Lytechinus pictus: one gene and its partner. The protein of the gene in region 1 purifies or fractionates together with the protein of each later gene. This does not show direct contact. Links are inferred from orthologs where the notes say so. Each region holds a gene or a part of one and is shown on either strand. Other genes may lie near its edges.

Region 1 (7,313 bases):
TACATATACAAAACTCGCTCTGCTAAGGTGTCACTTTATGGGGGGAATATCAAACTCATGCAACAAAATGACCTTACAATTCATTTATAACAACTCATCTTACATGTACCACGGTACATTTCACAAAGTTTCATTTCTTTTTCATGCTTCTATCAGTTTCAAATTGGTGATTTAGAGCCAGTATCGGTTTCCTCACACATATTAATTCACTGCCGATTCCAACATCTCAAACGCAAATTGTGCATGCGCAGAAATCACAGCTCAATTCATGAATATTCATGAGTAGGACTATAGATCAAGATCTGATCATGCAAATGCGCATGCGTGCGTTCGGAACTTGTCGCTCGCATAGATTGGCCAGGATATCGATAATTCTAATGGGAAAGCCTTCATGAAAGCCTAACTCAACGAACGTATGTCAGGGCAGCAACAAATGGCTGCCAGTTTTTCCTCTCCGGCAGAAAAATTCAAAAAATAAGGAACAAATCATCGGTAACATATATTTTTGAAATTTTATTTGAAAATGCATTGTATCAAAAGAAAGATTAGAGTCTAAAGAAAATAGTGGACCATCGTTCAAGATAATATAATGTCATTTAGACCTAAAAAAAAAAAATCTTGACAAAACACTCTACTATACTTGAGGTAGCTGCTGGGCATCATTTTTAATGCCCATTTATAACATTTATTTAATGTTAGACCTAAATATGATGGTGGTCCCCAAGTCTGGGCACCTAACGATTTGAGTTAAGATTTAACATGAATTTCTTTTTATTTCACAAAATCTTTCAATTAATAATGTTCCTCACATCATTATGATTTAGTGTGCCAAATATCTCATAAAAATTTGAAAGAAATATATGATTTTCTTAGAAAAAAAAACTGGGGCAGTAATTTTCAGATTGAACAAAAAATGGTGCCCCATGTCTGCGCACCAATCACTTTGCACGCGATTCTGGGATTTGATGAGAAAGGCTGCATTTTGAGGCCGTCGCAAGAAATGCTCAAATTTCATTATTTTTCCACCATTGTGAGTCTGGTTTTGTAAAATAATTTCTGTCTATGCATTAGATGTGTGTGTTCGTTGCGTATCTTCTTTTACTAGAATCGTGCAGATACGCGTATGAACAGACAAAGGGGACTGCGCATACTTTATAGGGGAACTTGCCATACATGTACCAATTTTGCCTGTTAATTATGTCTGCCAAACTAGCGTACCATGCCACAATTCATAATGCACCGGGCTAAAACTGAAAATTTACACACAACTAGGGTGACCAGACGTCCTGTATTTCCCGGGAACATCCCATATTTTGCTCCTTTGTCCCGGCAAACCCTTCCCCGGACGCCTATTTGTCCCGTACTTCAGAATATTGAACAAAATATAGTTAATACATTTAATAATAATAACATTTCATCAAACAGATGACGAAGCAGAGACGACAATAAAATCGATAACTAAACTTTTGCAAGTTCTGCGGTGATTTTCTTGCTAACCCAATACATGCACAAACGAACTGGCCTCCTGCCTGTGTGTGGCTGGCTACTAGCTAGGCATGTAGGATCGGAGCAGATTCTCAATGGTGCAAACAATGACATGATAAACAGTTTTCCACCAAAATAATCACAAAATCAGCGGGAAATTTGTATAATTATATTATGGATTCTCAGATTGCTGATTTGGATATGTAATCGGAGGGAACAAGCTATTGAGTTTTCATAACTAGATCCAGCTGTTTCAGCTTTTGTTTTGAGTCTTGTTGCGTACATGTATGATGCGGCGATGTTTCATCTAATTTTTAAGTTGACAATGTTTCACTTTGAAATTTTATTCATTTCTAAAACATTTTAGTTTTCTAAAATTTTAAAAATATGTTAAAAAAAAAAACCAAATATCATTATGATTTTTGTTAGATGATTGGATTGTTTTTGTTCACTTGAAGTTTGAACTTTTTCCTCTTTCTTTCCTATCCTTCTTTTTTCATCCTTCTATCCTTCCTGCTTACCCTTTTTTGTTCCATCTATCTTTAATTTCCTATCTTTCTTTTCTGATCCTTTCTCTCTCTGTTCATTTTTCTTTCTTTCCTTTTTTTCTCTTACCTGCCTTCTTTAATTTCTTTTATTTCCTCTATTCTTTCTTTCCTTAAACTTTTCTTTGCTTCCTTCTCCCTTCTCCTTTTTTCTTTTCGTTCTTTCTCTCCTTCCATTATTTTCTTTTTTTCATTCTCTCCTCCCTCTTTTTCCTCCTTTCTTTCATTCTTTATTCTATTTTTCCTTCTAATTCTTTCTTTCTTTCCCTCCCTTCATTCCTGTTTTCTTCTTTCTTTATTTTTTTCTTTCAAATGAAGGAAACATTTTTCTTTCCTTCATTCTTTCTTTCTTCCTCCATTTTTCTTTCTTTCTTCCTCCATTTTTCTTACTTTTTTCTCTCCTTCTTTCACATTTAACTATTCATCTTCCCTTCCTTTCTTTTTCTTTCTTTCCATATTCAATTCAAAGTATGACGGAAACCTTATTTCTCTCTTATTCTTTCTTAGTTTCATCCTTCTTTATTCTAACTTTGTTTTATTCTTTTTTAAGTTTTTCCTTCATTTTTTCTTCCTTTCTTTTCAAGCCATTTCATCTCTTTTCTTTCATCTTTTCATTCTCTCCTTCATTCTTTCGTTCACCCTCCCAATTCTTTATATTTTTTTCACAAGTCTAACAATAACACTGTGTAGCCTTCTTTGTAATTCACAAAATCATGTCATTCAATCACACACAATTTGCCAATGCACAAGCCAAGCCAAGCTCTCGATCGGTTCCTCGTCATACAAAATTACACGACTCTTGCTTGGCCTGGACCATTTTCGAACAAGCACCACGAAAGATCCTTGTACAGTACATCCACAACATGTCTTAATTTGAATTCAAGAATAAACATAGGTATTTATCAGGTGATTTAGATATGAACAAACTCTCTTACCGATTAAAATCGACTTTTAGCTTTCGGCGACCCACTTTTATCGCACACAATACTCCGCAACAAGCCTTTTGTTCAGTGAATTTCGGAAAACTGAAGAAGCGCAGCATACATAGCATGCAGCGCATTTCGGTCGGTAATTTCCGGAAATAATCGGAATTGGTGTGATTTTCTTGCCCATCTGATGATCTGAAGAAAAAGATAAAATCCAAGATGGGGCACTGTCATTACAAGATAGACACCTCTCTCTTAGGTGATCCCTCTACTGTTTTGGAGATTCCCAGAACCAATAGAACAATCCAAATCCTGTAAGTTAGAGATTTAGCATCAAATTGGATGGAGGTCATGGAGCGGTAGTCATGAATTTTATGGAGAAAAAAAGAGAGATTTGAGGAGAAGACGATTTGTGAGTCATGCATATTTTGCCAAGTGCCAAGTGCTCCCAAACCAAAATACTTCAAATTAATTTATCTTACACAAAATTACATACATTTATAATCAGGGGCCGTGGAAGTGGGGGGGGGGGGGGTGCTGGGGGCTTCAGTATCGATAGGCGGCACGGTAGGCAATGATCTAGGCATCCTACTTTACTACCACAATAGTCTGTACTAGTAATTAGTTAATTACAGACTGCTTCTGACGAAGTCTTCATAAAGACGAAAGCTAAAGCTAAGAATGGTTTCCTGCGTCATCTTTTGAGTTGTCCTCATTTCATTATGTTTCATATACTCACACCTCAAGAGCGTTTGGTACAAGTAGTCATCACATTATATATAGGCCTGTGTATGTGTGTGTGGGTGAGTTTGTTTGTTTTGTGTGATCAAGCGCCTTTGGAACGTCAGTGATTCATGATTTTGCCCCCCCCCCCCCAATCTGAAAAATGGACCGACGCCCCTGCTGCAAACCATCTTCTACTTTGTTTGGCGAGTTAAAGATAATTAATGTGGCTAAAAAAATCCAGATCTGACAAAGGTAAAGGCATACTCCATGCTGAAAATATTCATATCTCAATAAATAGAGTAAAATTCACAGAGCAAAATGCTGAAAATTAAATAAAAATCGGATAACAAATAAACAAATTGAATTTTAAAGATTTGCATTATTCCGCGGTGAAACAGTTTTAGGCATGTCTTTATGAATATTCATGAAGTTTGTCATATCCGCACTTCTTTTGTATTTATTATTTGAAATAAGGTTACTAGTAATTTATTTTAAAATTTTCTACCAAGAACTAAATTAGTTCTTTTTGGATTGACACGATTATTAAGTGCATTAATTATACATTGCTGCAACCTATTTTGCTATAATGGAGACACATCATTTACACATGTGTGAAAAAATGAAACAATTATGATTTCATGTAATAACATAAGAAAAGGGAGAGTGGGCGAAGTGACATCATCAGCCCACCTAATGAATATTCAGGATGACGTGCATACTATTTTCACAAAATATTGCTAAATTTTAAATTTCAATAACTTTGTTATTTGTTATCCGATTTGATGAAATTTTCAGCATTTTGCTCTGTGAATTTTACTCTATTTATTTAGATATAAATATTTCAGCCCGGATATCCCTTTAAATACGACTTATTATTTATTCTCTTTTTTTTCTCTATATTTTTCAATTTTCCTTTTTTTCACTACTTGAAAATTATAGAGCCCCCCCCCCCCCCTTCCCCGATGCTTAAACCCCTCTTATTATCTTCATTTTTATTATTATCTTCATCGTGGGTGGGGAAACCGTGGGGTGTGTTTATACGAGAGCTGTATTAAAATCTTCAAATCGACATGCCAGGGGCAAACAAGTTTTATAGGTAAAACTTTACGCCCACAACAAGGTATGTTCTGCCCACTGAACTGGGAATACGTATTTCCAGTTCAGTGGTTATGCCACTGCATGACAATTAGAAAAAAAAATTAAGCGATAACTTCAGCTGGTATGACTTCTATTTCGCTTTCCAGTCGCTTTAATATGTACTTGCTCATATATTTGTCATTAAAATGCTGCAAAACAGAAATAATATAATAAATTATTTGTAATATTATAATCAGTTTATTCTTTAAGGACAACGATATTATTTATGTACCACTAAAGAAAATTAAAGTGATGGTCTCGGGGATCAGACTATCTTGTTTGTATTATATTCACGCAATAATTCCTTGAAGCTATCCTACAGGTCTGCGATAAGACTGTGCTCCTTTCTTTATTTACATTTTGTAGACGTACAAATTCATTGGTGCCCTTCATGTTATACAAATCGAAAAACTACAATCTTTCACGTGGAAATGTTGACAAACCCCATCGCTTTCAGATATGGAAATGTCAACAAATGACAAGCTTTCTAATGATAATGTTATATATTGGTTGAAAAGAGCAGAAGAATGGGTTTCAATGAAACAGAATCATCGAAGATCAACGCCAGCGCGGGAAATATCGCAAAGCAGTGAACAACTTCAAACCTTTCTCTCGGCGGTGCTCAACCGATTGATCGCAGTGAGTATTGGGAGGGAGGGATGCACAGGGATGCATGCATGTCTCGGATGTCTTGGGCTTGAGTGATGCAACTGCAAGTAACATAGCTGCCACGCCCACTCCCCACTCAAATGGCCATGGCCTGGGCATGGCGAAGTGACTATACGAGTCAAGTCAGGCAATGACAATTCAATTGCAATGCATTGCCATATAATTGCATGTATTTAATTAAGCCATAAATGATAAGAAAATGAATTTATCAAATACGTGAATCTATATTATAACTTGAAAATTTTTATTCTTGTGCGATTTCAAAGTTTTTATTTAACTGACTAGGGCCTACAATAGCTTCTCACCTGAATTATGTCTGTCAATGTTTTTCATTTTATTTCTTTATTACTTGAATCAAGTATTAAACTATTCATTTATTTTTTTGGCCTTATCGTGAAATTTGTCACCTCTCTTCTTGTGTGTGTCGGTGTGTGTGCGCTCGTTGTGTACAAAGTCAATGGGAGTGGAAAGATGTCACCCCCGCTGACGAAATAAACGGCAGTGAATGGACTGGTGACATAAACCACGATAATGCCATTTTTTTTTTATAGTAGTAGACAGTAACTCAGTAATAATTCAATATTTGGACAGGATATTTTCAATGAAATTCTACAATCATTCATGCAAGTTTTGGATGGTTTGACCTTTGGAGACTATATGCTTAAGTGTGCTGAGTCTGACTCTTGAATTCTTCAATAAGTAATAATAATCTGAAGATTTAAAGGGAAAGTTCACCCTGAAGAAAAGTTTGTCGTAAAACTAACAAAAAGAATAATAAAATATATTGGTGAAGGTTTGAGGAAAATCTGTAAAAGATTATAAAGAAAGTTATTAGAATTTAAAATTTTTGATTTGTGATGTCATAACCGAGTAGCTGCCCCATATGTTATTGTATAGAAATGCATAAATTTCCTCTCTCTTTTTAAATGGTTCCTGATGACTCATTTTTGTTTTCTATTCATGATCAGGTGTGAAATGATTTGTCTATTGATATAAAAAGGTACAGTAAAAACCATTCCAAATTTTCTGAGAAAATGACATTTCATTGATTTTTACCATTCGCTATGTAGGAATGGTGCTCGCCTATGACGTAAAAAAATCAATGAATTGAAATTCTAATAACTTTTTAATTCTTCAAATGATGGATTTTTTTTTCAAACCTTTGGCAATATAATTTTTTTTTCCTGCTATTTTTACAATAAACTTTTGTCAGGGATGAACTTCCCCTTTAACTGATATATAGTATATGAAGTATATGAAATGAAATTTTAGTTCAGTTTTAATATTAATAAGTAAACAAAAAAATTGATGAAATGTCAGTAGACACATTGGACCTATAGCTATCTCCAATCTAGCACTGAAAATCTGCCTAGAACAAAATCTCAGCTCAGTCTGCCTCAAAACAATGTCAATAACATGTTGGCTGCTGAAATGGTATCCAGACCAACAACTGTTAATTGATTTCATAGAATTTGCTTTTTTTTTCATCTGAGATTTGCCCCATATTAGCCAAGCCTGCGTATTGATGGCATGTACAAAAATCCAGAATCGAACAATTTGGCCCGTATTCTGAAGTCGGGTTTAACTTAGACCATGGTCTATTCTGTGCTAAAATTATGGGGAGCCAAAAAAAAAAAAATCTGTTTATATTGTATATTTCGTATGTTTACTATTTTGTTTCCTTTTGCTTCCATAATGAGGAAAAATACTTCAGTTATCATTCCCAGACTATTATGAATGATTTGGATGTCATATGAGTCAATAAATTGGATGTGTCCTGTTATGGATTTGTGCCCCAATTGGCTCTCCATAGTTAAACTAAAAC
Region 2 (7,476 bases), on another chromosome or scaffold:
TGTAGTGAATTTGCAGGGGTGTGATGAGTTCAGCTTTAAAGCTAATTTCTCTTTTTTCTGTATTTTTTATTTGCAGAGCAGCTCATTTCAAATAAAAAAGAAATGTCCTGTATATGAGCTTTCGCATTCTCAGTTTTGTTCAAAATTTATTAAAATTATGTGTACTAGTATGGTGTCCAGTGTCCACAAGTCCCATCCCCCCCTCACGAGACCCGACACAATTTCTTTTAAAGCAAAGACATGCCTACACCCCTAAAATAGTTGCCATGGCATGCACACATTAAAATTCTACTGTTCAGTTAGTTTCAGGAGAAACAGTACCAACAGCGGCTGGCCTTGTATTACTCAACATGCATACATATATTGAGACATCAGAAAATAATTTCAAAAAACTTTGCAACATCATTCCAAAGCCAAAAGTGATGAAAATAGAGGGGTTTTTTTTTTCTCTCTGAACTACATATGCTCAAAATAGCTGATCAGTGATTTTGAGAATTATCATACTTAGCTTTTCCCACAGAAAACACACCTTGGGTAATGAATTATGATACCATTTTCAAGTGAATTTCACATGCGGAGAGGGGTGCGATCGAAAGTTGATCGTAAAAAGAAAACTTATCTCGGTAATTTATTTTTTGTAGGTAGATCTATTTGTGTAGATCTATGGTGGAAGTTTGATAAATTTCAAGAAATATGATTGAATGTACTGTAGATCTATAATAGTATGACTATAAACAGTGATTGGTAGTAAATATATGATCCACTAATATACTCTAGCCTAGCCTAGGCCTACTTGATCATGCACGAAAATTTGACAGAATTCAGAATATAATTAGAGGTCTAGACTCCGACTATAGATCTAGATCTAAAGCCACATACAACTTTTCCATCCTAAATCTGGCAATCCCTGGCATAATTTCGTGAAATAGGGAACACAGCAGTGTCTTTATTCGGTCACACGCATCGGTTCTCTAACGTCACTCACACGTATTGCGAGGTTAATATACTAACCTCCCACCATGAACCGCGTTTGGCAGTGGATTTCTAACTAGTAGTGGGTCGCGCGTGCTGCGATCCCACTTCTGGCAGTAGAGGCGCACGGCCAATATGGGAGACTCTCTCCAATAGGGGAGACAATCTCCCACATTGGAGACATAAGGGCCGTCTGCACCATCCCGAGTTTTCAAATTAGCGCGCTATTTCTGATCCGGCAAATTATCCCGATCTGAAAAATCTCGAGATAGTTGGCGGTGGAGACGCAATTATCGCGCTAGTTCGTAGGATTAATCTCGAGATTGCAATCCCAAGTCAACTCGGGTTTATTTGCAAAATAGCGCGCTATTTTACGAATTATCCCGCTAATTCGTCGGTGCAGACGCACTCGAGATTGGACTCAGGGTAATTTATTCATGACGTCAGTCCATAATGCAATTCGCGTTCCACTTCCGCCTTGGTCAAAACATAAACACGTGCGAAAGTCAACTTTATACATGCGAATAGCGTTCATCAATTGCCTAATAAGCAACGATGGTGTCCCACCAGTGAATGGATTTTGGGAGAGACCAGACCGAAGGGGGAGGCGCTCATCGACGATGGTCATATTCAATAACAACACTGACAGCAGTGTTGTCTTATTCCTTCGCAAAATGTGAGCAAATAGCATTTCTTTCCTCCTTCTCTCCCTCTCTCTCTCTCTCTGTCGTTGTCTCCTACTCATATTTAACGAAGAATACATCACTTCTTCACTCGCTGGGCTGAGAGGATTGTTGCATAACACCGGTCGAATTCGGCGAAAGTGCTAGTGAAAGGAGTACATTGCTTGCATATCGCGGGAAGTTATTCAAAAGCGCGGGCCGTTGAAACTCCAAGATCCGAAAGTGCGCATGCTCGAAATATCGGGTTTGTTGCCTCGCTCGAGCAGGAATCGCTGTCTTGCGATGGTGCAGACGGGGTTTCTTGAATCTCGAGATTAATCGCGAAGTGGGCCGATCGGGCTAAAATCTCGAGATTGAGCAAACTCGGGATGGTGCAGCACCACCTTTGCTTTGCAAAAGGACAAAAGAAACAACACCAACAATAGCATGATTTTTTCCATCCAAAATTTTGTCTCACTGAGGTCAGAAGCCCATTTGTTTTGTGTGTGATTGACAACGAAAATCCTTATCAAAACAAAAGTAGACGGTGAATTTTTAAAGTAGACGGTGAAAAGGGGCAATTTTTCATGAGGAATCTCCTTAGCACATTTTTATTTGCCGCCAAGGTAATCCTTTTGCAGCAAATGTAAACAAAGGAAATTGGTCTCCAAAACTGGAGACTGTCTCTGAAATTGGATAGGGGGGGCCTACCCAAATTCTTTACAAAAGTCTCTGATATTGGAGATAATCTCCCACATTGGAGACAGTCTCCAATATTGGCTGTGCGCCTCTACTGTCTGGTGTCCACAACACACGACTTCTTATCATCTATGGCTTGATTTTTCTGTGTGCGGTGGCATGTAATAAACCCTAACGTAATCCACCTCGACTCTGCTGACTAACGTTTAACTTTAACTTTAAATAATTAATGTTAATGTTAGAACTTAAAGTGCACGCGAACAAATAAAATAATCGACGAGTGGTTCCCGAAACCACAATTTGGCCCTAATTTTTAATTTTTAATATCTTCTAGTTCAAGATCACATAATTTATTTTTTTTTGCTTTTGGTAGAGTGGGCATGTATATGAAAGTCCCCTCCCCCCCCCCCCCCCCCCCACAAAAAAAGGCAGCGCAGCCGCAGGAATTCAGCGCACAGCGAACAAAGGATTTGGCCTTTGGCTTTGGGCTGACGCCGGGCAGGGGATGCGTTCCGCGACGTGCCACACACTGCACAGACTGACTGTGTCATGTCAGCGAGTGTGTCTTTTCCTACCACTAATTTGAGGCAAAATATCAATAAAACGAATTTTACTTACTTCAGAACCAATCATATATTGCTCTCCTCCTTCTTCAAAATGGAAGACATCGGGCTTCTTCCCGTATGTTTTTAGAGGTGTCCCCATTTTGTATCCTTTTCTTTCGTACTTTCCTTTAATATCAGCGCAGCCGAATCGAAATCACGAATGTTATCGTGAATGGTATTGGCGAATTTACTTCAGCGCCGCGCCAGCAATTAAAAAGAAAAAAATTGAAGGGGGTCAGTGAAGGCCCCACACCGCGGGGCACCGAATTAATTATTTACTAGATGATAGTACCGTTTTTCCACCCTACTTGATTTTTTTCGATTCAATCAATCCAATTCAATTTCAATTTAATAGTCTACGATTTAATTATAAATGAAAAAAATATATCTTCCACTGGCTTTCTCTTTTTTTTGCGGGGGGCAGATTTTACCAGAATGAGCCACAACAAGGGCATCATTTTAGTGAAATAACGGGGCATGTGTATAACTTAGATGTGAATATTAAATCAATGAGGCTTTGGGGAGGACTGGCACTGCCATTTCAATGTGGACACTGTGAAAGTACACAAAAGCATGTATATAAAAGAGGGTTATCACAGCGAGGAATGTAACGTCATATAGTGACAAGGCCAAAATCAAGAAAAACAGTTTTCTACCCTATCATGACAGTGATATATTTCAGGCATTTTAGGATTAAAAAAAGACATGACAAAATATTTGGTTAGATATCTGATTGAGGATTATGACTTGTTCAGGGTCCATTTTGGAAGTCCATGTGTAAAAGCATATGGCATCCACTTTGATATGTCACGAGACGTATATGGTCTTCATGAGTTTACTCCAGTTTGTAAACTCACGTTTTGCTTTGTTGGTATTTGTTTGCTCTCTCCCTCTCGCTCTCCCTACCTCCCTCCCTCACCTAGGAGCGGCCTCATCTCTCTATCCCCTCTCTCTACCCTCCCCTGTTTCTCCACCTTCTATGCATGCTTCTATCATGATAGTTGAAGAAACAATGTTTGTGAGTCAATTGGACACAAGGACCTATAACACAATCAGTTTTGCGGGGCACACAACTCGAGATGTATTAAAGGACAAGTCCACCCCAACAAATAGTCCACCTGAACAAATCAAGAAAAATCCAACCAGCATAACACTGAAAATTTCATCAAAATTGGATGTAAAATAAGTTATGACATTTTAAAGTTTCACTTAATTTCACAAAACAGTTATATGCACATCATGGTTGGTATGCAAATGAGGAAACTGATGACATCATCCACTCACTGTTTCTTTTGTATTTTATTATATGAAGTATGAAATATTCTAATTTTCTCCTCATTGTCAGGCTATTGAAACAATGATTAATTCCTCTTGAACATGTGGAATTAGCATTATTTAATACTATATGGTTCAGTCAACTTGGTTCTTATTGTCAAATCTGTAAAAAATGAAATAATGTATAAATCAAACAATAAAGAACAAAAGAAATAGTGAGTGATGGACATAGACTCATCATTTGCATGACACCGACTTGTGCATATCTCTGTTTTGTGAAAAATAAGAGAAACTTTCAAATGCAATAACTTTCTTATTTTACATCCGATTTTGATGAAATTTTAAGCGTTATGCTAGTTTGATTTTTCTCTATTTATTCAAATGAACATTTTCTTTGGTGGACTTGACCTTTAAAGAGTCAAGTCTGGTTCACGAAGTAAAAAACAGAGCCTCCTACTTGTAATTGGGAGTGTAGAGTCGTCATCGACTTATTCCCATGCAAATCAACTGTGAATATTAATTTCTATTTTTCAAGTCTTGACAAATCAGATTTTATGGAGCTTTTAAAAACACGTTTTATTACTTCAGGATGCCATCTTTCAATCCGAGGCAGTTTTTAGCCCTGCAACACATAGGTTTGCAATCTGAATGCAAATATAAAAAAAAGGCTCTAATTGGTTTCTGCTCAATATCTGAAACAAAATACACATGCAACAATGTTCTTGACTGGCCAATGCCATTTAGCAGTTGATGGCAAACCTTTGTGTCACAGAGTCCTGGGGAGCATTTCACGTTTGTTTCATCCAACAAACCCCATTTTATCTGATGGTTACCATAATAACAGTGCCTCTAAGCCAATCAAAATCTAGGAAAGATGTCAGATCTGTCAACTTGATAAAACACTCCCCTGTTCTTGAACATACTGCAATAACAAATTATACATATAAAAATCATATCTGCAGACAAGATTATAGCATGGCAAGGAATTTATTAGAGTCCAATAAATGTATACAAAGTGAAGCTGAAAAATAATTACACATTCTGGAGTCTTTGTTTCTCTCTCTCTCTTTCTGTTTTACATTGCTATCTAATCTGCTACTTATTTTAAGATTTTAAATGACAAAAAAATTTGAGTTCATGTACTGCATTCTGGGTGAATTAATCAACATCATAAAACATCGTACGGACACTATGATACATATGGTATATAGTCCACATAAATCATTTATAATACTAATGTGCAATACACAAGTAATTATTTCATTGATTTTTAAGCTTTGCATCATTATCAAACAAACATACACACTTAAATAAAATGAAACATTAAGGATTAAGATGATCAATGTGTGAAACAAATAAAATAAGACTATTTTGATTCTTTACATGGCGAGGATAACATAAAGCATGAGCAATAACGTTACTTAAGATGTATATAGAAGATAAACATAAAAAAGGGAAAAAGGGTATTCCATTCCACCTTACTAATGGGTGCTTGCACAAAATGAAAATGAGACGAGAGTCCTGAAAGAGAACAGAATAAAAATATCAACATAAATGGCCTTTACAGGCTCATTCACATCTTCCACACACAAAAAAAAAATTGATTCTTTATATTTTCAATAAACACAATCCAAAATGCAAAAAAAAATGTCCTGTGCTTACATGCTGTTTTCATTCCCATTTTCCTTTTTATATTCACATAGACATTAAAAAAGATAAAGAAAATTATTAATAAAAAAAATGGCATCACATATGTTAAATGTTTGAAATCACTGGCTATATACTGTCTTGACTGGTACAAGTAGTATAGACACATATCTTTTTACACGTGTATATTTGGCCTCCAACTTATGATTGTCTGTGGAACCATAGACATATGGACAAAAGTACACTATTCTTCATTTTCCATTGGTAACAAATATAAACTTAGTGAGAGGTGGGAAACATACACATACCAAAGTAGATTCAATTGGCATCCCATATACAGTCAAACCTTCTTTAGCAAAAGCATGTGTAGAAATACAACCTATCTATAATGACCACAAATTTGATTTCCCTTGAATATTTTTCCCCACTGAACATGCAATCAAGGAATCTTCCATATCTATAGATAAATTCAGTTTGGGTGCTGTTCTTTTTTTAAATTTCTAATTTGGATCTTCAACATGATTTATGCACTACATGCATTTACATAGCAACACACCTTGCTTATTGCATAATTTATTGAAAATGCTTTCATTCTTCTTTGGAATCCCCCCCCCCCCAAAAAAAAAAAAATAATAATAATAAATAAATAAATGTATAAATAAAATAAAAATAAATACAGTTATGGCTGCTATAAGTAAATGTGCTCTGTAGTTGAATTCATCTTAGACCATGTGTTCATAAAATACAAATTTCTTGTCTCCTTTAAGTATTCTTTATATACAGGTTTCAATGAATAAAAAAAAAATCAACTGTGTATACAACCTCTATAAAGCAAGCATAATCTGTTTCACCATTAAGACTTCATGAGAAAATTGGACAACCAATAAAAAGTATTACTTTCTCCTCAATTTAACTTAAAAATTCAGTATGTCCAACTAAATTAATTGATTTATGAAATGGAATAAAAAAAGTTATTTTCAAATAAATCATGATGTTGAGATTTCAAATGATACTCATCTTTTTCTTCAAAATAATTTGATGACCTGTTGTATTCACCACACTTTACAAGTACAAAAATGAAACATATTTGAATTATTAAAAGAAATATTAACAAAGGAAAAAACAGAGGTAATGCGACAGCGATTCCAAAGAAAATGATTTATGAAGATAAAAAAAAAATTAAATAAAACCTGCCATAAAAAGAAAAAAAAAATGGCTAACCTGCCATTAAGGCAACAAAAGTATCTACCCAACATGTCTTTCAGTAGCTTTGGTTACAATACATATCACACTCATACATGTAATAACATTGACATTTTTATAAATGTAAATCAGTTCATATCACTCAAAATACCCATCTAATGGTATCACTTGAAAAGAATGGAAAACCCAAGAAAATATTGAAGATACAAAAGAAATCTTCTGAGCATGATTGATTTTATGTGTAATGAATTCAAAACACTCCCTAAATTGTACCTAAAAATTTTCATATTTTGGTGACTCAACATGAACACACTGCTTATCATATACCATACTCTATTCTTTCAAAGTTTCCAGCCACACGTTTTTGCACAAGTGTATGAGCGCTTGTATACATAATACATATATATCTATAT

What was found. The genes of interacting proteins can lie anywhere in the genome.
Region 2: the proteins of probable global transcription activator SNF2L2 (region 1) and SWI/SNF-related matrix-associated actin-dependent regulator of chromatin subfamily B member 1-like purify together in Drosophila melanogaster (affinity purification with western blotting; 7 studies listed by BioGRID, with this or other methods). This does not show direct contact. The link is inferred for Lytechinus pictus from reciprocal best matches to the Drosophila melanogaster genes brm and Snr1.

The regions. Positions count from the first base shown.
Region 1 is NC_087255.1:22,750,219-22,757,531, reverse strand, and holds the start of probable global transcription activator SNF2L2, read right to left. Parts: upstream 3,058-7,313; 5' UTR 2,966-3,057; intron 1-2,965. Other genes in the region: Fanconi anemia group C protein-like, read left to right, coding at 5,279-5,458. UniProt on the Drosophila melanogaster protein: Transcriptional regulator. Acts as a coactivator, assisting one or more dedicated transcriptional activators of ANTC and BXC homeotic gene clusters. Can counteract the repressive effect of Polycomb protein.
Region 2 is NC_087246.1:18,201,584-18,209,059, reverse strand, and holds the start of SWI/SNF-related matrix-associated actin-dependent regulator of chromatin subfamily B member 1-like, read right to left. Parts: upstream 3,116-7,476; 5' UTR 3,039-3,115; coding exon 2,952-3,038; intron 1-2,951.